Linked DNA regions of Sus scrofa. The main gene of each other region encodes a partner of the protein of the gene in region 5 in a complex. Links are inferred from orthologs where the notes say so. Each region holds a gene or a part of one and is shown on either strand. Other genes may lie near its edges. The genes, in order: ROPN1L, NME5, DNAJB13, DYDC1 and LRRC23.

What was found.
Region 1: LRRC23 (region 5) and ROPN1L share a complex: the UniProt entries of both Homo sapiens proteins name them as parts of the axonemal radial spoke complex. The link is inferred for Sus scrofa from reciprocal best matches to the Homo sapiens genes LRRC23 and ROPN1L.
Region 2: LRRC23 (region 5) and NME5 share a complex: the UniProt entries of both Homo sapiens proteins name them as parts of the axonemal radial spoke complex. The link is inferred for Sus scrofa from reciprocal best matches to the Homo sapiens genes LRRC23 and NME5.
Region 3: LRRC23 (region 5) and DNAJB13 share a complex: the UniProt entries of both Homo sapiens proteins name them as parts of the axonemal radial spoke complex. The link is inferred for Sus scrofa from reciprocal best matches to the Homo sapiens genes LRRC23 and DNAJB13.
Region 4: LRRC23 (region 5) and DYDC1 share a complex: the UniProt entries of both Homo sapiens proteins name them as parts of the axonemal radial spoke complex. The link is inferred for Sus scrofa from reciprocal best matches to the Homo sapiens genes LRRC23 and DYDC1.

Annotation. Positions count from the first base shown.
Region 1 is NC_010458.4:41,906-46,111, reverse strand, and holds the start of ROPN1L (ropporin-1-like protein), read right to left. Parts: upstream 2,814-4,206; 5' UTR 2,676-2,813; intron 2,350-2,675; 5' UTR 2,306-2,349; coding exon 2,175-2,305; intron 557-2,174; coding exon 433-556; intron 1-432. UniProt on the Homo sapiens protein: Functions as part of axonemal radial spoke complexes that play an important part in the motility of sperm and cilia. Important for male fertility.
Region 2 is NC_010444.4:140,155,143-140,158,657, reverse strand, and holds part of NME5 (nucleoside diphosphate kinase homolog 5), read left to right. Parts: intron 1-217; coding exon 218-318; intron 319-3,515. UniProt on the Homo sapiens protein: Functions as part of axonemal radial spoke complexes that play an important part in the motility of sperm and cilia. Does not seem to have nucleoside diphosphate kinase (NDPK) activity.
Region 3 is NC_010451.4:8,348,693-8,352,207, forward strand, and holds part of DNAJB13 (dnaJ homolog subfamily B member 13), read left to right. Parts: intron 1-2,106; coding exon 2,107-2,264; intron 2,265-3,140; coding exon 3,141-3,254; intron 3,255-3,515. UniProt on the Homo sapiens protein: Functions as part of axonemal radial spoke complexes that play an important part in the motility of sperm and cilia.
Region 4 is NC_010456.5:82,176,497-82,180,168, reverse strand, and holds the end of DYDC1 (DPY30 domain-containing protein 1), read left to right. Parts: intron 1-420; coding exon 421-522; intron 523-3,094; coding exon 3,095-3,124; 3' UTR 3,125-3,165; downstream 3,166-3,672. UniProt on the Homo sapiens protein: Functions as part of axonemal radial spoke complexes that play an important part in the motility of sperm and cilia. Plays a crucial role during acrosome biogenesis.
Region 5 is NC_010447.5:63,808,804-63,812,641, reverse strand, and holds the end of LRRC23 (leucine-rich repeat-containing protein 23), read left to right. Parts: intron 1-362; coding exon 363-499; intron 500-2,225; coding exon 2,226-2,498; intron 2,499-3,067; coding exon 3,068-3,068; 3' UTR 3,069-3,335; downstream 3,336-3,838. UniProt on the Homo sapiens protein: Essential for sperm motility and male fertility. Plays an important role in the proper assembly of the third radial spoke (RS3) head and the bridge structure between RS2 and RS3 in the sperm flagella.

The DNA.
Region 1 (4,206 bases), on a different chromosome or scaffold from region 5:
ATGGCAATGCCAGATCCTTATCCCACTGAGCAAGCTCAAAGATTAAACCAGCATCCTTGGAGTTCCCGTTGTGGCTAAGTGGGTTACAAACCCAACTAATATCCATGAGGATACCGCAGGTTTGGCCCTGAAAAAGCAAAAGAAAGAAAGAAAGAAAGAAAGAAAGAAAGAAAGAAAGAAAGAAAGAAAGAAAGAAAGAAAGAAAGAAACGCATCCTCACGGATGCTAGTCAGGTTCATAACCCACTGAGCCACAATGGGAACTCCTATTTGGGGTTCTTTAAACCAGAGAAAGGCCACTGAATACAAGATTCCTTCTTTGAATAAACTTGGAGGTTTCCCAAAGGGAAGCAGGGCTTGTATGGATGATGGGGAGGTTTCTGCCAAGCTTTATCTCAAGTTCATCTGACTGATGACAAAGACAATCTTATACCTGCTTGTGCAAAACTTTAAGGAGTCCTTGAGTCAGGCCTGTGTCTGTTTTCTGAGTGGCCATGGGCATTTCAATTCTGTCCTTTACAGGAAGTGGATCTCCTCTTGACAAAGCTGAAAAATACCTGACAACGACATGCATTGCTGAAGGCTCATCTGTGCATCCAGCTGACTTCATGCACTTTCATCAGTGACCTCAGAGGGAGACAGTGATGACGGAGGACTGTGCTAGGTCCCTGGCCCAGCCCCTCTACTCAACTGACTTAACATTCTCCACATGCCTCAGTTTCTCTGTCTGCAGAGTGGGGAGAATGGTGGCCCCTGTCTCAAGGCCCCCATCTGCACTCCTGGGGGTCTCACGACACATGCTAATCTCATCAAGTAGATGCCACTAGAGGTCCTGAGATGTTGCTAGAGGAGGTGGAGGTCAGGGCCCCATGTGACCCAAGTGCAAGGGCATGGTCCAGTAGTATCATTTTGACAGCTGGGGACTTGGCCCTGCTTCTCGAGGGGCTTGATTTCAAGCATCTCTGCCTATTCGGGTCTCAGGCACTCAGAACAGGGAAGTCACCTGTTTGGCCAACTCAGGGCCAACCTCCCCTACTCTTCACCTTTCCTGCCTGGTATTTTTTTTTTTTCTTCAGTATTTTCCCACTCAATCATTCCTTTCTGGGACATGGATATTGGTGCTAATACTAGGAAGAAGCTGGGACACAGAGAGAGTCTGGGGCAACAAGACAGGAGGGGGACAGGACCCCGGGGGTCTGGCTGGAGGGTGAGGGGTGCCAGGCAGGGTCTTCTGGAAGCTCACTCTCTGTGGGTGCATGCAGCTGAGAATGGCTGCTGAAGCCACATCATTTGCTGCCCTCACAACCTTACCACTGTCAGAGAAATGCCATATCCAGGAAAATAAGGCACTAAATCATCCAGGGCTACCAGTAATAATTTCAAAGATACAAGTAGTTAGAAAACATCTCTGAACATGTAACAAAATGTAGATCAATAGATATTTGATGGACTAAAAGAAATTTTATATCTCATCCCCTTTTTCTCTCTCCACCCCCTCAAATTCAACTTTCACGCTCTTAGGACAAGTTCAGACATATTTTGTTAACTTAATGTCTGTTCCTAGAAGCAGAATGTTTGTTGCAATAAACTGTGACGCTCATATGCTTGAACTAAGCTGGGCAAAGTTTAACTTTACAGCAGCCTTGGGATGGTTACTTGACATAAACTAGTCTTTCTGGTTCCAATAACCTCAAAAGGTACTCAATCCTGGAGGATTTTCTGAAGACAAAGAATATAACCATAAGATTCTTCCTTGTAAAAATCATTTCACAAATAAAGGGACTGTGATAGTTCGAGTTTATAACACAAGGCAGAAACTTTTTACCCAATGTAACTGTTTTATAAATTTTAGTCTACTTGCATAAATATCACTCTCCAACAATAGAGCTGCCATTGCTTTGTAGATAAATGGGCATTTTGCAGTAATTTCTGGTCTCGTGGTCAATAAACCACGACGCTTCCTAGATAGATACTTAGGTGTAAATACCAAAACCACTGGTACCTACATTAGGTGTATGGTATCTACAATACTATATTAGGTGTAGATACCAATGCTAAAAAAGGTTTTGCCGGTACTCAGGGTACTGAGCATTGTCCAGGAAGGAGGACTCACTAGGCACGACTGGGCAAAGGGGACCAGGGGGCTCTCCAAGGTCCCAGTCCGGTGGAACTTACCCCGCGGACCACTGCAGCACGTCGGCGGGTTGGGTGCGGATCGCAGCCTTGGTGAACTGCTTCAGGATGTCTGGCAGTTCCGGGGGAATGTGGATCTGCTGTGCGCAGAACATGGTGTCGGGAAGCGGCATCGCTCTCCGCAGACCAGGACCAGGCTGGAAAGAATCAAGGTGTGCTGCGGAGGGAGAAAAGGCTGGTTGGCCAGCCCAGGACACTCGGAGAGACGCGACGGCCAGGGGACCCAGGGGCCGGGCCAGAGCACGGGGTCCAGGGTCCCCAGTTTGAAGCCTAGTGGAGGAAGAGGGTCTGGGGCGGGGCTGGGCGGGGTCCGGGATCTTGAACCAGGCCGGGGGTGGTGCGTTTAAACCAGGCCAGGGCAGGCTGCCCACCTTTCCTCGGGTTTGGAGGGGCCGGGGACCGGGGCTGGGCGGCAGTTTTGGGTTTGAGGGCAGGCCAAGAGGCTGGCTTCCTGAGGCGCCGGCAGCCGGCGAAGGCTCTTACCCGCTCCTCCGGTTCCTCGGAAAATGAGGGCCAACCGCTGGTTCTAGCGCAGACCCAGCAACTGGGCAGCAAGCCACCGCTATTGTTTCGCAGCGGTATCCAAGCAACCAAAACATGTGCGGGCTCCACCCCCTGGAGCCGCGCACGCGCACAAATGGTGGAGCAATGCGCTTGCGCAGTCTGGTTTCGCAGTCCTTTCCTTTACCTCGCTGTAGGAGCAGAACGTTTCACTTGAAAAGGACTTTTTTTTTTTTTTTCTTTTGATTAATTTAATTTTATTGGAGTAAAGTTGACTTACAATGGTGTATTAGTTTTAGGTGTATGGTAAAATGATACAGTCATGCATATAAATATATCCATTCTTTTTTCCCATATAGGTTCTTACAAACTACTGAGTAGATTTTCTTCTGCTACACAGCACGTTCTCGTTGCATCTCTTGTTTTTCTTAATTTTTTTTATTACTCAAATGAATTTATCACATCTGTAGTTGTATAATGATCATAAAAATCTGATTTCACAGGATTTCCATCCCACAGCCCAAGCACATCCCCCCACCCCCCAAACTGTCTCCTCCGGATACCATAAGTTTTTCAATGTCTGTGAGTCAGCATCTGTTGTGCAAAGAAATTCCGTCTGTCCTTTCTTCAGATTCCACATGTCAGTGAAAGCATTTGATGTTGGTGTCTCATTGTATGGCTGACTTCACTTAGCATGATAGTTTCTAGGTCCATCCATGTTGCTAAAAATGCTGATTTCGTTCTTTTTCATGGCTGAGTAATATTCCATTGTGTATATGTACCACATCTTCTGGATCCACTCCTCTGTCGATGGACATTTAGGTTGTTTCCATGTCTTGGCTATTGTAAATAGTGCTGCAGTGAACATCGGAGTACATGTGTCTTTGCGATAGATGTGTTTTGTGTTTTCTCTGGATAGATGCCCAGGAGTGGGATTGCTGGATCCAATGGGAGTTCTATGTTTAGTTTTCTGAGGAATCTCCATACTGCTTTCCACAGTGGTTGCACCAATTTACAATCCCACCAACCGTGTAAGAGGGTTCCTTATTCTCCACCCCCTCTCCAGCACTTCTTGTTTGTAGACTTTTGGATGATGGCCATTCTGGCTGGTGTAAGGTGGTACCTCAGAGTGGTTTTGATTTGCGTGTCTCTAATAATGAGTGATGTTGAACAACTTTTCATGTGTTTCTCAGCCATCCGTATGTCTTCTTTGGAGAACTGTCTGTTTAGATCTTCCGCCCATTTTTTGATGGGGTTATTTGTTTTTTTGGTATTGAGCTGCAGAAGGTGTTTATAAATTTTGGAGAGGAATCTCTGGTCAGTCGATTCATTTGCAAAGATTTTCTTCCATTCTGTGGGATGTCTTTTTGTGTTGTTTAGGGTTTCCATTGCTGTGCAGAAACTTTGAGGTTTTATTAGGTCCCATTTGTTTATTTTTCTTTTTATTGTCAATACTCCAAGAGGTGGATCTGATAATATGTTGCTGTTGTTTATGTGAGAGAGTGTTTGGCCT
Region 2 (3,515 bases), on a different chromosome or scaffold from region 5:
CAATACCTCTTTTTCACCTAGAGAACTATTCTTCCAAGTATATTTCTCCTGTAGATTTAAATATATTTGACCCTCGTCTAGATAGATTTATGTTTAAATTCAAAATAGATTAAAACCCCTTATGTGAGAAGTGGTGATGCTTTTGTAAAATTCCTAATATAACAAGTAAGGAAAAAACAGCAGATTAAATGGTCATCATCTCTTAACTTGCTTTTAGTCTAAGGGCAATTTATGGCACAGACGAGCTAAGGAATGCACTTCATGGGAGTAATGATTTTGCTGCAGCAGAAAGAGAAATTCGATTTATGTTTCCGGCAGGTGAGTTACATAATTAGTTCATTGCATCTACCTATGGTTTACTTTTTCTTTTATTTTGGAGACATAGCTGGGAGGGAAGATAACAGGATTTTTCTCCAATATATTGTCATGTTTTCAAGTTGTAATTACTTAACAGCTTAAGCCAAGAATAGAGAACTCAGCATTTTTCTCAGAACTAAATTGTGTCCTCTAGAATCTTTTGAGAAGGGTTAACTTTTTTTCTTTTCTTTTCTCTTGGACTGAACATATCTGGGGTTTTTCTTCTGTATTGTAATTCCTTTTAGTTATCCCTAAATGTATTAGCCAAGTTTTTTACACATGAAAAGAATCTTCTTTGGAAATTTTGGTTGACTTGCCATTTTCTTTAACAGTTTGCTGTTTAACAAGACTCATGCATTTATGAAATTAGTAGTTCTTAGGCCCCTTTTTTGTTTCCATCCTGTTATGGAAGCTGTTAACCTTTTAGAAGTGGGTATCGTAATGAGGTTTTCAGTTTGTTTTGAATAATATTGTTAGAGCAGAAAGAATTTGGTGATTTTTTTTATTATAAAGAGAAAAATTCAAAGTGTTGGGCAACTTTGAATTTTTTTGCATTTTTTTCCCTCTTAGTAATTTAGATCTCTGCCGCAGTATTTTCTGGTAAAGATTTATTCAAAGAAAACTGAAAATTGGAGTTCCCGTCGTGGCGCAGTGGTTAACGAATCCGACTAGGAACCATGAGGTTGTGGGTTCTGTCCCTGCCCTTGCTCAGTGGGTTAACGATCCGGCGTTGCCGTGAGCTGTGGTGTAGGTCGCAGACGCGGCTCGGATCCCGCGTTGCTGTGGCTCTGGCGTAGGCCGGTGGCTACAGCTCCGATTCAACCCCTAGCCTGGGAACCTCCATATGCCGCGGGAGCGGCCCAAGAAATAGCAACAACAACAACAAAAAAGACAAAAGACAAAAAAAACAAAAACAAAAACAAAAAAACAAAAAACTGAAAATTATCTTGGCTATTTAAAAGTACTGATTTTTGAACAAACAAAAACTCTTTTAAAGATTTTTTTGTAGATGTTCCTTGGTGGCCTCACAGTTAAAGATTCTGCATTGTCAGTGCTGTGGTGTGGGTTCGATCCCTGGCCTAGGAAGTTCTGCATGTCGCAGGCACAGCCATAAAAAAAATTTGTACGCAAAAGGATTTGCCTACTATATACTTTATTCTTATTGATCTAATTTCTGTCTTATACATTCCACTAAGATATAATTTTCTTTGCAAATGTTTATTGTGGAATATTTACACAAAAGTAGACAGAATAGAATAATAAATCCCTAATGAGCCCATCACTCAGCTTCAATGATATTTGATCAGTCTTTTTTTAAAAATTGAAGTATAGTTGATTTAGGTCAGTCTTACTTCATTTATAACCCTTGCTTCTACTTCTCCTGTTTCCATTTATATTGAACCACATCTTAAACTTGAGATTTTTTTTTTTATAATATTTAATTTATTTTGTCTTTTTTTTGTCTTTTTAGGGCCACACCCACAGCATATGGAGGTTCCCAGGCTAGGGGTCTAATTGGAGCTGTTGCTGCTGGCCCCAGGCACAGCCACAGCAACACTAGATCCAAGCCGCATCTGCAACCCACATCACAGCTCATGGCAATGCCAGATCCTTAACCCACTGAGCGAGGCCAGGGATCGAACCGACACCTCATGGTTCCTAGCCAGATTTGTTTCCGCTGCGCCATGATGGGAAATCTGAGATGTCTTTTTAATGTGGTAGATTTTTAGATTTAGTCCTACTGGTGAATTTAGACTTCTCCTCTTTAGCTTTTAACTAAAATAACGTTCAAACTCACTTTTAAGTAGAAGATACATTTGGAAGCTCTTCTTGCTCATAGGGTTATATCCCTAAACAGTTATTTTAGATTGCCTTTGATTTTACCTATTAATTAATCCTCTAGGTAGCTATTTGAGAAGCAGCAGTTGTAGGATAAAAAATGATTGCAGATCTTGTGTGTGTGTGTGTGTGTGTGTGTGTGTGTGTGTGTCTTTGTGTCTTTTTGCCTTTTCTATGGCCACTTCCGTGGCCTATGGAGGTTCCCAGGCTAGGGGTCTAATTGGAGCTATAGCCGCTGACCTGCGCCAGAGCTACAGCAACTCAAGATCCGAGCCGCCTCTGCGACCTACACCACAGCTCATGGCAATGCTGGATCCTTAACCCACTGAGCAAGGCTAGGGATCAAACCCGAAACCTCATGGTTCCTAGTCGGATTCATTAACCACTGAGCCACGACGGGAACTCTGATTGCAGATCTTTTGCTGTGGGAATATAGACTTCGAAGTAAGTTCTCAAAGTTTGTGATATGAGCTTTCTGGCTTAGCAGTCAGTCAAGAACTACATGCAAAACCCTATATGATGATTTGCTAAAGCAAGTTATTAAGATAATCAAAGACAGGAGTTCCCGTCGTGGCGCAGTGGTTAACGAATCCGACTAGGAACCATGAGGTTGCGGGTTCGGTCCCTGCCCTTGCTCAGTGGGTTAACGATCCGGCGTTGCCGTGAGCTGTGGTGTAGGTTGCAGACGCGGCTCGGATCCTGCGTTGCAGTGGCTCTGGCGTAGGCCGGTGGCTACAGCTCCGATTCAACCCCTAGCCTGGGAACCTCCATATGCCGCCGGAGCGGCCCAGGAAATAGCAACAACAACAACAACAAAAGACAAAAAGACAAAAAAGACAAAAAAAAAAAAAAGATAATCAAAGACATACTTATAATCCTTGAAAAAGCTAGTGTTCTTTCCTTCCCTTTTAATAGGGATGGCTGATTCAAAGCTTTGCTATGTTCTATTCATTCAACAAATGTATTGAGTTACCTACCACATGCCAGAAATACAAAAATGAATAAGATATTCATGCTCTCTCAAGATGATCATATTTTAAAAGTCTGTAAAGGTATAAAAATAAATATAAATGCAGTGTATAAATTATGTCATGAAAAAGCTTTAAAAAGTGCAGTGAAAGTTTATATAAGAAACATGAAAACACTCTTTAGGTTCTCAATTCATTCAGCCTTAGTTGCTAGAAACAAATAATAAATGGCTGACAAAAATAGACAAGATAGAAATAATCCAAAAATTAAGTTGAGTTCTCTGTGGCATAGCCCATTAAGGATCTAGTGTTGTCTCTGCGGCAGCGCAGGTTGGATCCCTAGCCTGACAC
Region 3 (3,515 bases), on a different chromosome or scaffold from region 5:
CACCTTACTAGTTGTGGACTGTGTTTTATTTGACCTCTCTGGGCTGACCAAATAATAGTCCAAAGGGCTAAAAAGGGCACCTGACGCCAGCAAGCTCTCAGCTGTAGTTCCTTATCGTCTTGTTATCTGACCCGAACCTGGAAGGCGGGTCAGGTGTGTTGCTCCTTCCCACAGACGAGAGACTGGAGCCGGGACACCTGCACTGCCGGGGAAGGGCACAGGCTCTCTGTGTGAGGATGGAGGTGGGGCTGCCAAAGGTGTTTTGGCTGTAGGGCTGGGCAGGAGCAGAAGGAATCGAGGCAGGAGTTTGCGGACATGGTGGTGGCCTCGCCACCATCTCAGCCACTGACTTCATAGAAACTCGAGTCTGAGGTCTCTCGTCTTGGGCTGGGCTGGGGCGGAGCCTGGGGAAGGGCTGGGAGGTCTGGCCTTGCTCCAGCCCCCTCCGCGAAAGTAATAGCACCTCCAGGCCCTGCCACCAGAGGGCACTGCTCTCTCTCCTGGGGAGCACTTCCCTGGAGCTGAGGGCGGAGGGAGACTGCGAAGTGAGGATGAAGGGCGGCCAAAGTCGGGCCGAGGCAGGGAGAGCGGCAAGGGGTGGTGACCACCGGGTCTTCAGCTGAGGATGGTACCAAGCCTACCCTCCTGCTGGCAGCACGGCAGGCCAGTAAATCCAGAGACGAGCTGTTGGAGCAAAGGATAGTAACTCTATTCAAGAAGCCAAGAAGACGGTTCCCAAAGGACCGTATATATATATTTTTTGCTTCTCAGGGCCTCACCCGCGGCATATGGAGGTTTCCAGGCTAGGGGTCTAATCGGAGCTACAGCTGCTGGCCTACACCACAGCCACAGGAACTCGGGCTCCAAGCTGTGTCTGCCACCAACACCAGATCCTTGACCCACTGAGCGAGGCCAGGGATCAAACCTTCAGCCTCATGGTTCCTAGTCAGATTTGTTTCCACTGAGCCGCGATGGGAACTCCGCAAAGGACCATCTTATCTGAGAATTCAGACTTCTTTTATACTAAAAGGAGAGGGAGTGGGTGTTCTCCTGGGTCTCAGCAGGTTAAGGATCCGGTGTTGTCACTGCAGCTGCTCAGGTTGCTGCTATGGCAGTGGTGGGTTCTATCCCTGGCCTGGGAACTTCCACATGCTGCGGGCATGGCCAAAAATTAAAATTTTTTTTTTGCTTTTTTTGCTTTTTTAGGGCTGCGCCTGTGGCATATGGAAGTTTCCAGGCTAGGGGTCAAATTGGAGCTGTAACTGCTGGCCTACGCCGCAGCCATAGCAATGCAGAATCCGAGCCAAGTCTGTGACCTATACCACAGCTCATGGCAATGCTGGATCCTTAACCCACTAAGTGAGGCCAGGGATCACACCCACATCTTCATGGATACTAGTCAGATTTGTTTCTGCTGTGCCACAACGGGAACTCCCAATTTTTTTTTTTTTTTTTTTTTTTTTTGTCTTTTCTAGGGCCATACCCATGGCATATTGAGGTTCCCAGGCTAGGGGTCCCATCAGAACTATAGCCGCTGTTCTACACCACAGCCACAGCCATGCCAGATATGAGCTGCTTCTGCGACCACAGCCCACAGCAACGCCGGATCCTTAAGCCACTGAGCAAGGCCAGGGATCAAACCCGCAACCTCATGGTTCCTAGTCAGATTCCTAGTCAGATTCGTTAACAATGGGAACTCGTAAAATTTTTTAAAAATTGAAGGAGAGGGAGTCAAACATTTCCTGGTTCCAGTCTGCCTCCAGAGGGATGTGGTAATTTCTTCTTGCCTGCAACCATTCCCAGGTGGGCCTGGTGGGGATGCTTCCTGTGAGCTAAACCAAGGTATTTTAGCTGATGCAGAATACCTGGGAGGCAGGGTTCCCAGAGATGGGCCATTATGTATAATTTACGCTTATAGGCAACATCCCTTTAGTGCTTAACTTGTAATTATGAGGACAGCTCCTCGGACAAACGGGCTGGAGCCTGTGAGGCGGGAACGGGAGGCTGGGTATTACACTCGGGGACTGAAACGGTGCGGGATTGTCCGTGAACATGAGTTTCTGGACACAGTTTCTCTTACTCCGTGCGTCTCCCCACCTTCTGCAGAGTTTTTTGATGCAGAAGGAAATGAGGTGGATCTTAACTTTGGGGGGCTCCGGGGCCGCGGGGTCAAGAAACAGGACCCCCCCATCGAGCGAGACCTCTACTTGTCTCTGGAGGACTTGTTCTTCGGCTGCACCAAGAAAATTAAGATCTCCCGAAGGGTGAGTACCGCGAGCCTCCTCCTAACCGCTCTGACCCGAACCGGAGACCTCGGGTATGGCCTCTCTCGGGATCATGGCATCTTAGATTTGGGGACCTAGGATGGTGGAATTCTAAAATCTGACCTTTGGAAGGGACAGTCGGGGGTATTAGCTGGGGTTCTTTCTGAGTTCAGGAGTCCCCCTGCATGCCCCCAACTTCTCAGTTCAGCCCCATCCCTGAGGAAACTGGGAGTCTCCTGTGATTTCTGCCTTCTGGGCGTTACCAGCCCATACCCTGTGGGTTCCTGGGTGTGTGCCTCCTGAGTAAGAAGGTGCCCTGTGGGCATGGGAGGGGGAGGCTGGGGGACAGTCCCTAAGGGGACTTGGAGAAGACCCTCAATGCCTCAGGGTCCAGCCCTGTGCTAGCCCCGTGCCATGGTCCACATGAGCACGGCCCCCTCCAACCTTTGCCCGGCAAAGGAGATGCCAGTTGTAGCCATGCCTTGCACAGATGGCCCCCATGTGGGCCTGTGATTGGGGGGTGGGTGACAGGTGACATACAGAGGAGTGCTGTGGGTGAGGCTCTGTGGTCTTTCTCCCTTGGGAATTAAGAGCCCTGCTGGAGGCTCGGGCAGAAGCCGCGGGGGTGGGAGAGGAGGTGGGTGTGTGTTCCCTGTGTATCTGTCAGTGGCCACAGCCGTGAGTTTCTAGGACTGGAGTGGGTCCTTGGTCAACTCACGGTGACACTTGGCACCTCGGACCCGAGCCCCATGTCATGCCCTGGCCCTCCTGGCCTAAGTTCCTGGTTTCAGTGGAACGGGCGTGGGGTGGCTCTGGCAGCTTCTCCCCATTGCTAGAGGCCACCTGGCAAACCTCCGTCCCGTCGTCTCGCCGCAGGTGCTGAACGAGGACGGGTTCTCCTCTACCATCAAGGACAAGATCCTCACCATTGACGTGAAGCCTGGGTGGAGGCAGGGCACCCGAATCACCTTTGAGAAGGAAGGGGACCAGGTGAGGGGAGGGCTGCTCCCTGGGGCCAGTCCCCCGGGTCCGCGTGGTGGGAGGACCGAGGCGGGAGGAGGCAGTGCGTGTTCTTGGTCCGGCAGGGAGGCCGGTCTGCAGAGTGGGCGAGCCGACCCCTCATGTCCCTCCCGAGGGACTGAGCCTCACAGGACATCCCCCAGGACCGAGTGGGCAACCGAGGCCCAGAGAAGGCAGGGACCTGCCCAGGGCACGGGCACCAGAGCAGGAAGGAGAAGCGAGTCCTAACAC
Region 4 (3,672 bases), on a different chromosome or scaffold from region 5:
TATTTTTATTTTTTTGCTATTTCTTGGGCTGCTCCCTCGGCATATGGAGGTTCTCAGGCTAGGGGTCGAATCGGAGCTGTAGCCGCCGGCCTACGCCAGAGCCACAGCAACGCTGGATCCGAGCCGCATCTGCAACCTACACCACAGCTCACGGCAACGCCGGATCGTTACCCACTGAGCAAGGGCAGGGACCCAACCCGCAACCTCATGGTTCCTCGTCGGATTCGTTAACCACTGCGCCACGACGGGAACTCCTAGCATTTATTCTTAAGAATTCTCGTCATTAACAGGTATTAGTGTTCATTCTATTAATTGACAGTGTTGAATTTTGATGGTATAATTCAGAAATGTCTCATCAAAACTGAAAGGAAATTAATGTATTAATGTATTTGAAAGTGAAAATGAACTCTCTGATTGTAGGACAGAGCCGACTCAGGCAAAACACTGGCTGAAATCAGTGATCGTTACGGGGCACCTAACTTGAGCAGAGTGGAAGAACTTGATGAACCAATGCTATCTGATGTAAGTATCCTTAGGAAATTGTTTTGTGAAAAGCAGAATTTTTTTTTTTTTTTTAACTTTAGGAAGGCCTAGTGCATATGAGGCTGGGGTTGGATGGCAGATGGGCCTTTTGCTTCATAGAAGGAAAACCAGTTTTCTGGATGCCAGCATATCCCTAATTGGCCTTCTGCCCTTTCGTGCTGCGTGTTACTGGCTCTGAGGGTGCAGGCAGGCACATGTCTGGCTCCACACAAATGTGTGGGCCCTGAGTGGGAAGCAGCTGGGAGTTGGTGTTAAGGTAGCAGTGTGCCCTCCTATGCAGAGCGTGATATGTATGTTTAGAGTGAGGCTTTGAAAATTTCAAAATCTCTTCAGAATAGGTATTTAAAAGCATGTGGTGAAATACATAACCTTTAAATTAAAATTTGGGGGCCAACACTGACCCAAAACATGGAGCCAAATAAATATCTTAATGAGAGTGCATGCTTTTATAGTATATAAGCACATCTGCTATTTAATAAACATGTAATGTTTGCTATTGTGCCACACATGGTGCTTGATGCTGTTATGAGTAAAACAGGTCATTTTTGACCTTGTCTAGGGGAGAGACAATTGGATAAGCAATTAATAGTCATTATTAGGAGTTTCCTTGTGGTGCAGTGGGTTAAGGATTTAGTGATGTCATTGCAGCCGCTTGGGTTGCTGCTGTGACACATGTTTGATTCCACCCAGGAACTGCTACATGCTGGTGGCACAGCCCCCCCCCCAAAAAAAGAGTGACCAGGTAATTTATTGCCCAAACCAGTATGCTTTGAGAACAAAGGGCAGAGCTGTTGGTAATTGAGCCAAGTCAGCTGGATGTAAACCAGGACTGGCCTGACAGAGGGATTCATTGAGTCACCTTCGTCAGTGAGCACTGACAAGGTGGGACAACTGCCCGGTTGAAGACTCTTGGTCAGGAAAGGCTTCCTGAAGGAAATCCACTTGTCCCTTGGTGGGAGGCTGAAAGCACAGAGTGTGAAGACCCAGCTCAGGGAGAATAGAGAGAGTAGGAGGCAGAGAGAGATTGGAGCTGAGGCAGTGGGGAAGGCAGGGGCCAGACCAGGAGAGCATGTGTAAGGTGGGCTCAGAAGTTTATATTTTATCCTGGGGACAATGGAGGCTAACATGATCAAAGCTGCATTTGAGGAAGGCCATCTGGCCACAGGATGTGGAAAAGACTGAAATGATAGATTTGCAGAGACCCACTAGGAGGTTCTTGTAATCTGGAGAGAGATGGCATTGATGGCCTGGAGTAGTAAAGGGTGTTTTCAAGAGCTGTTCAGAAAGTAGAGCTGGAAGGATTTGGTGCCAATCAGTCTGTGGTTACATTCTTATTAAATGGCTGCCATGTTTCAGTACTGTGCAGGGAGCTAGACAATGCCAGTGAACAAAACATATTGAGTTCCTGCTCTTTGGGGTCCATGGGCAAGCCCAAAATGTGCTCTCAGGGGACAGAGCAGGGAAATTAGCCCACGTGAGTCTCCTCCAGGAAGTGTCATTTAAGAAACTAGCCTGAGATAAGCCCTGCAGATGGAAAGGGCGAGATGCTTTCAAAGAACTGGAGTAGTCTATTATGGCTGAGTTGCATGGAGCCAGTAGAATGGTGTGATTTGAAGCTGGAGATGTGGGTGGAGATCACACTGATCACACTGAGCTCTGTGAGTCGTGTTAGGGATTTGGGACTTGAGTGCCGTGGGAGTCATCGAAAGATGTATGTGAGGATTAGATATGTGTTTTTAGAAAGTGGAGCGAGGATTTGAATGGGTAGGCGTGGAAGCAGGAGACCACCTAGGAGGTTATTAGAGGCAGCCACATGCAAGGTGATCAGGGCTAGGACCAAGGTGCAGACAGCAGAGATAGGGACAGCTGAGTGGATTTGATATTGGTCGAGAGGATAAAGGAGAGAAAGAAATCAAAGATGAAGCCCAGATTTCTCCCTTGGACAGCCTGGATGCTTCACCATTTTTTTGAGCTTTCTCATTGGTTGAATTGAGGAACATATGAAGAGAAAGTAGGTTTTGTGAAAATGATGGCTTCAGTTGTGGACATGTTGAATTTCAGGTCACTCTGAGGTATGCAGGTAAAAATGGCCAAAGACCAGTTGAAGTACAATGTGGATCTGAAGGACAGGAGGGAGGTCCAGCAGGAGATAGGAGTTCAGCGGTCATTGGCATATAGGCTTAGTGCAGCTGGGAGTGTGAGTAAAGTACCTAGGAGTGCATGCAGATGTGAAGGAGGGGGCTCAGGGTGAAACCCTGAGAAATTTCAACATTTAAGGGGTGGGTATGGGACCCCTATAAGAAGGATATAGATAACAGTAAGAGAAAATAGCAAGAGAAGTAGAAGAAAGGATGGGTTAATAAATACACTGAGAACACAATTACATTATTGTTATATTGAATTTGCATTTTACTTGAAATAATCTGAAACTATCAAAAAACTTGATTTACATAGTCACATAGAAATTACCTAAGCTCTAATTTTCTGTGACTTGTATATTTTCACAGTTCTAATTGTATTAAAGCATATTTACTTTTTATTTTGTTTTTAGGTTGCATTAAACATTGATCAAGATTTGTAGAATCAACCAACCTAAGAACAATAAATTTTTCTTGTTTCAAATTTCAAAGTGTGAGGTCCCCAAACATATTCCACCCCCAAACTTGAATTCTACTTTTTTCCCCTCTGAAGACAGCTTTGTAAATGGGCTTCAAGGGTGGTCTTAAAATATTGTTTTGGATTTCTCAATGTCACTAGTTACTGTATGATTCCATTGAGAGGTCGGGAGAGAGCAACTAAAAGGGGCAGTGGGAGACAAGCTGAAAAGAATGTGAGTATCTGTGTGAGAACAGATTGCCTAAGATGGAAGTTACTGGTCTGTGAGAAGTGAAAGAGGCTGCCACGATGTAGTGCTCAGGAATATTCAACATGCTTTAGATATGGTGTTTCCTCCTATGAGAACACTTCAAAGATTTCCCCAGTTTGCTGGGAAGCGATGCTCTAGAGTACCACTTAATCCATGCTTATTGATGGGACTGTGATGGGGAGGGATGGAACGTACCTGGGTACAGAGAAGCAGCATTTCTTCTTGAACAATCATTGGGCAAAGTTGCTGTGTTGAAAGGAAGA
Region 5 (3,838 bases):
CCAGGCTAGGGGTTGAATCGGAGCTACGCTGCCAGCCTGCACCCAGCCACGGCAATGTGAGATCTGAGCCACATCTGCCACCTACACCACAGCTCATGGCAATGCCAGATCCCTGGCCCACTGAACAAGGCCAGGGATCAAACCCACATCCTCATGGATACTAGTCGGATTTGTTTCTGATGTGCCACAATGGGAGCTCCCTGGATTCTTTATTCTGCATGGATTTCTACCCACCTCTCTTTCTCTTGCACCCTCCTACTTTTCTTATATTTGCTTTTTTGCTGCATCCCTTTCTGATTTCTCTTCCTTCCTCATCCCTTCTCCCATCTCGCAATCTATCTACTGTATCCACGGGGGTCTAGGCCCAGAACATGTTGAAGAAGGTGGAAGGTTTGGAGAACCTAAGCAATCTCACTACCTTGCATCTTCGGGACAACCAGATTGACACTCTGAGTGGCTTCTCCAAGGAAATGAAATCACTGCAGTACCTCAACCTAAGGTAGGCATCCTCTCCAGGCCCCACCTCACCCCTACCCTTTTCTGGGAGCCACATTTTTTTTTTCTTTTTAGGGCCCCATCCGTGGCACATGGAGGTTCCCAGGCTAGGGGTCGAATCAGAGCTGTAGCTGCCAGCCTACGCCAGAGCCAGAGCAACACGGGATCCTTAACCCACTGAGCAAGGCCGGAGGTTGAACTCAGGTCCTAATGGATACTAGTTGGGTTCGTTACCACTGAGCCACAATGGGAACTCCCAGGGGGGATTTTCTTTAACCAACTCTTGTGTGATGGAGCATGTTATGTGTTTCTCACAGCAAAGATGTAAGGAAATGGCCTCCCTAGTCAACAAGGCCAAATCCTTGAGGCTGGCAATGGATAGAGGATCTTCCAGTAGGGAGCCATGGTTATATCTTGAAGCCCCAATTCCTGCCCTGACCCATGGAATGATCTCTTGCTCATTAGCTCTGCCTTCCTGGTCTGGGAGGGTGGAGGGGGTACTGTTTTCTGGTTAATGGTCTGGACAGAGATAATGGACCTTCCTCAGAAGCTATTAACCGGTGATGTTTGGAAGTAAATGTACGGGGAGGGGGTTGTCTCCGTGACTTGGAGGTGCCTCTGGGGCCAAAGACCTGCAACACGTAGGACAGTCCAGTGGGAAGTGCGAGTAGCACTTTGGTTAGAAACACTGGGAGAGGTTCAGCACCTCCTTTGAGATGAGGCTGAAGTCTTTAAGCCTGATTTTCAAAGGTACAAAGCAAGAGTATGTAAATAAACATCCATGAGCATGGGGACAAGGAGACACTCTAGGGGAGGAAGCTTATTCTTCAGGCTGGGAGGCCCTGACCCACCCCTAGCTCTAGGCTCCTTCCTGTGGGAGCACCAAGGTAGTACCCGCTCCATGAGCCTGGAGCCCAGCTCCTCCTCCACTGGCTTGGGTCCTAACTGCTTCTTCTTCTTCTTCCTTTTTTTTTTTTTTGTCTTTTCTAGGGCTGCTTCCTGTGGCATATGGAGGTTCCCAGGCTAGGGGTCTAAGCGGAGCTGTAGCTGTAGCTGCTGGCCTACGCCAGAGCCACAGCAATGTGGGATCCGAGTCGAGTCTGCGACCTACACCACAGCTCACGGCAACGCTGGATCCCTAACCCAGGATTGGAACCTGGGTTGGCCAGGGTTGGAACCTGCAACCTCATGGTTTCTAGTCGGATTCGTTAACCACTGCGCCACAACGGGAACTCCATTCAGGGTACAGGTTTGATCCCTGGCCCTGCTCAGTGGGTTAAGGATCCGGCGTTGCTGTGAGCTGCGGTGTCAGTTACAGACACAGTTCGGATCCTGTGTTGCCATGGCTGTGGCGTAGGCCAGAAGCTATAGCTCCAATTCCACCTCTAGCCTGGGAACTTCCACATGCTGCAGCCTTAAAAAGAAAACAAACAAACAAAACAAAACCAGGTTTGAGACCCAGCTTTACTGCTCAAAAAGGATAAACACAGCACATTACAGAATAGACTGTGGCACCTAGGGAGTCCCTGAGGGGCAGAAGCAGGACAGGAGTAGGGCTGGACAGCATCTCATGGCAAATCTGACAATGCTTGGAGGGCCAGTCCACAGAGGCCATGTTTCTAGAGAGACCAGAGCCCCGTGGGGGATTTCTCCCAGGCCCTTTTCCTGGAAGGCAGCTGGCCTCCAAAGCCCCATCTCCCCTGGTGAACCCCTCCCGACTGCACCTGCAGGGGCAACATGGTGACCGACCTGGGGGAGCTAGCCAAGCTGCAGGACCTGCCCAAGCTGCGAGCCCTGGTGCTGCTGGACAACCCGTGTGCAGACGAGAGTGACTACCGCCAGGAGGCCCTGGTGCAGTTGGCACACCTCGAGCGCCTGGACAAGGACTTCTATGAGGAGGAGGAGCGGGCTGAGGCCGATGAGATCCGGCAGAGGATGAAGGAGGAGCAGGAGCAGGAGGCTGAGCCCGAGGCTGAATCGGAACTGGACCAGTCATCCATCTAGTAGTTCCTCTTGTCTCTAAGGGTGTTGGGGGTGGTGGGGGACAAGGAGGCAAGAGGAGGAGGCCAAGGGCCCAGCAGATGGGGAAGAGGAGTTGCTGTAGGAGGAGGTGGGTAAGGAAGGCAGAGGTCTTGGGGAGACCCGGGTAAGGAGTCAGGGGTGTCTCGGGGCGAGGAGAAAGAACCAGAGGGCCTGGGAGAATCTGAGAAAGGTTGGGGAGATACATCAGGAGGCCTGAAGAGTAAGTGAAAAAAACTGGGGTGGCAGAAATGTTGGTGTGGGCTCAGCAGCCACGCCTGCCAGGGAATGCCAACTCTGGGCCCTGGTGGGGGTAGAGCTGGGGGCAGTGTATGTTAGGATGACTGCTGGACCAGGGAAGAAGGCAGGAGAGGAAGATCTGGAGCTAAAAAGAACAGGATACCAAGCAGAAGGGAGAAAGGAGGGCAGGGCGAGGCAGAGAGACTAAACGATGAGCCCAGGGAACGGTGGCAGCTGGCATTTCAGGTGGGGCAAAGACAGCAGTGGGGGTGCTGTTGGGCCCTGAGGCTTGGCTCCTGTCCTCTTCCTCCAGGAGACTAAAGATGCTGGTCCCAGGACTGAGAAGATTCCCAGCTGGGGGGGCTGCCACATGTACACTCCTCATGAGACAGGTGATGGCTTCTTTTGCCTAGGCCCTGGGGTGCCTAGGCAAGTGGCAGCCCTCAGGCAGGTCTGGTGGGAGCCAGGCCCGTTTGGGCTGAAAGGATGCTGGAAGAATTGGCTACAGAGGAGCTGCGGAGGTGGCAGTCTGGGGTATTAGGAACAGTTTGGTTTTCCAATAAAGAGCGTTTTGATACTCTTGGGTTTGACGAGGTTTGCGAGATAGTCTGTCATGGGCTTGACTGGCTGATTACTGGCGTTGGCGTGAGGCTGAGGCTATTACTTTTCAGGGGGTATGAGTGTGCGTAGGAGGGTGGTCAGGTCTCAGGTAGCCCTCCGCCCCTCCAACATCGCTCTCCTCCAGCCCTCCCCACCCCACCCCACCCCATCGGTCCCCACCCCCATCGGTCCCCCACCCCCATCGGTCCCCCACCCGCGCTCCTACGTGCGCCTCCGCCGGCTGCTCCTGACTCATCGGGGGCTCCGGGTCACATGCGCCCGCCCGGCCCTATTGGCGCCTCCCCCCGTCCGCCCCCCGCCCGCCGCCCGGGAGCCGCAGCCGCCGCCGCCACTCCCGCTCTCTCTGTGCCATCACCGCCGCCGTCGCCAGCGCCACCACCACAGGCTGGGTCTGCAACTCTGAGGTGAAGCCCGCCGAGCCCCGAGCCCCTCCGGCCCCCTCCGTTCGCCGCCGCGCCCCCGC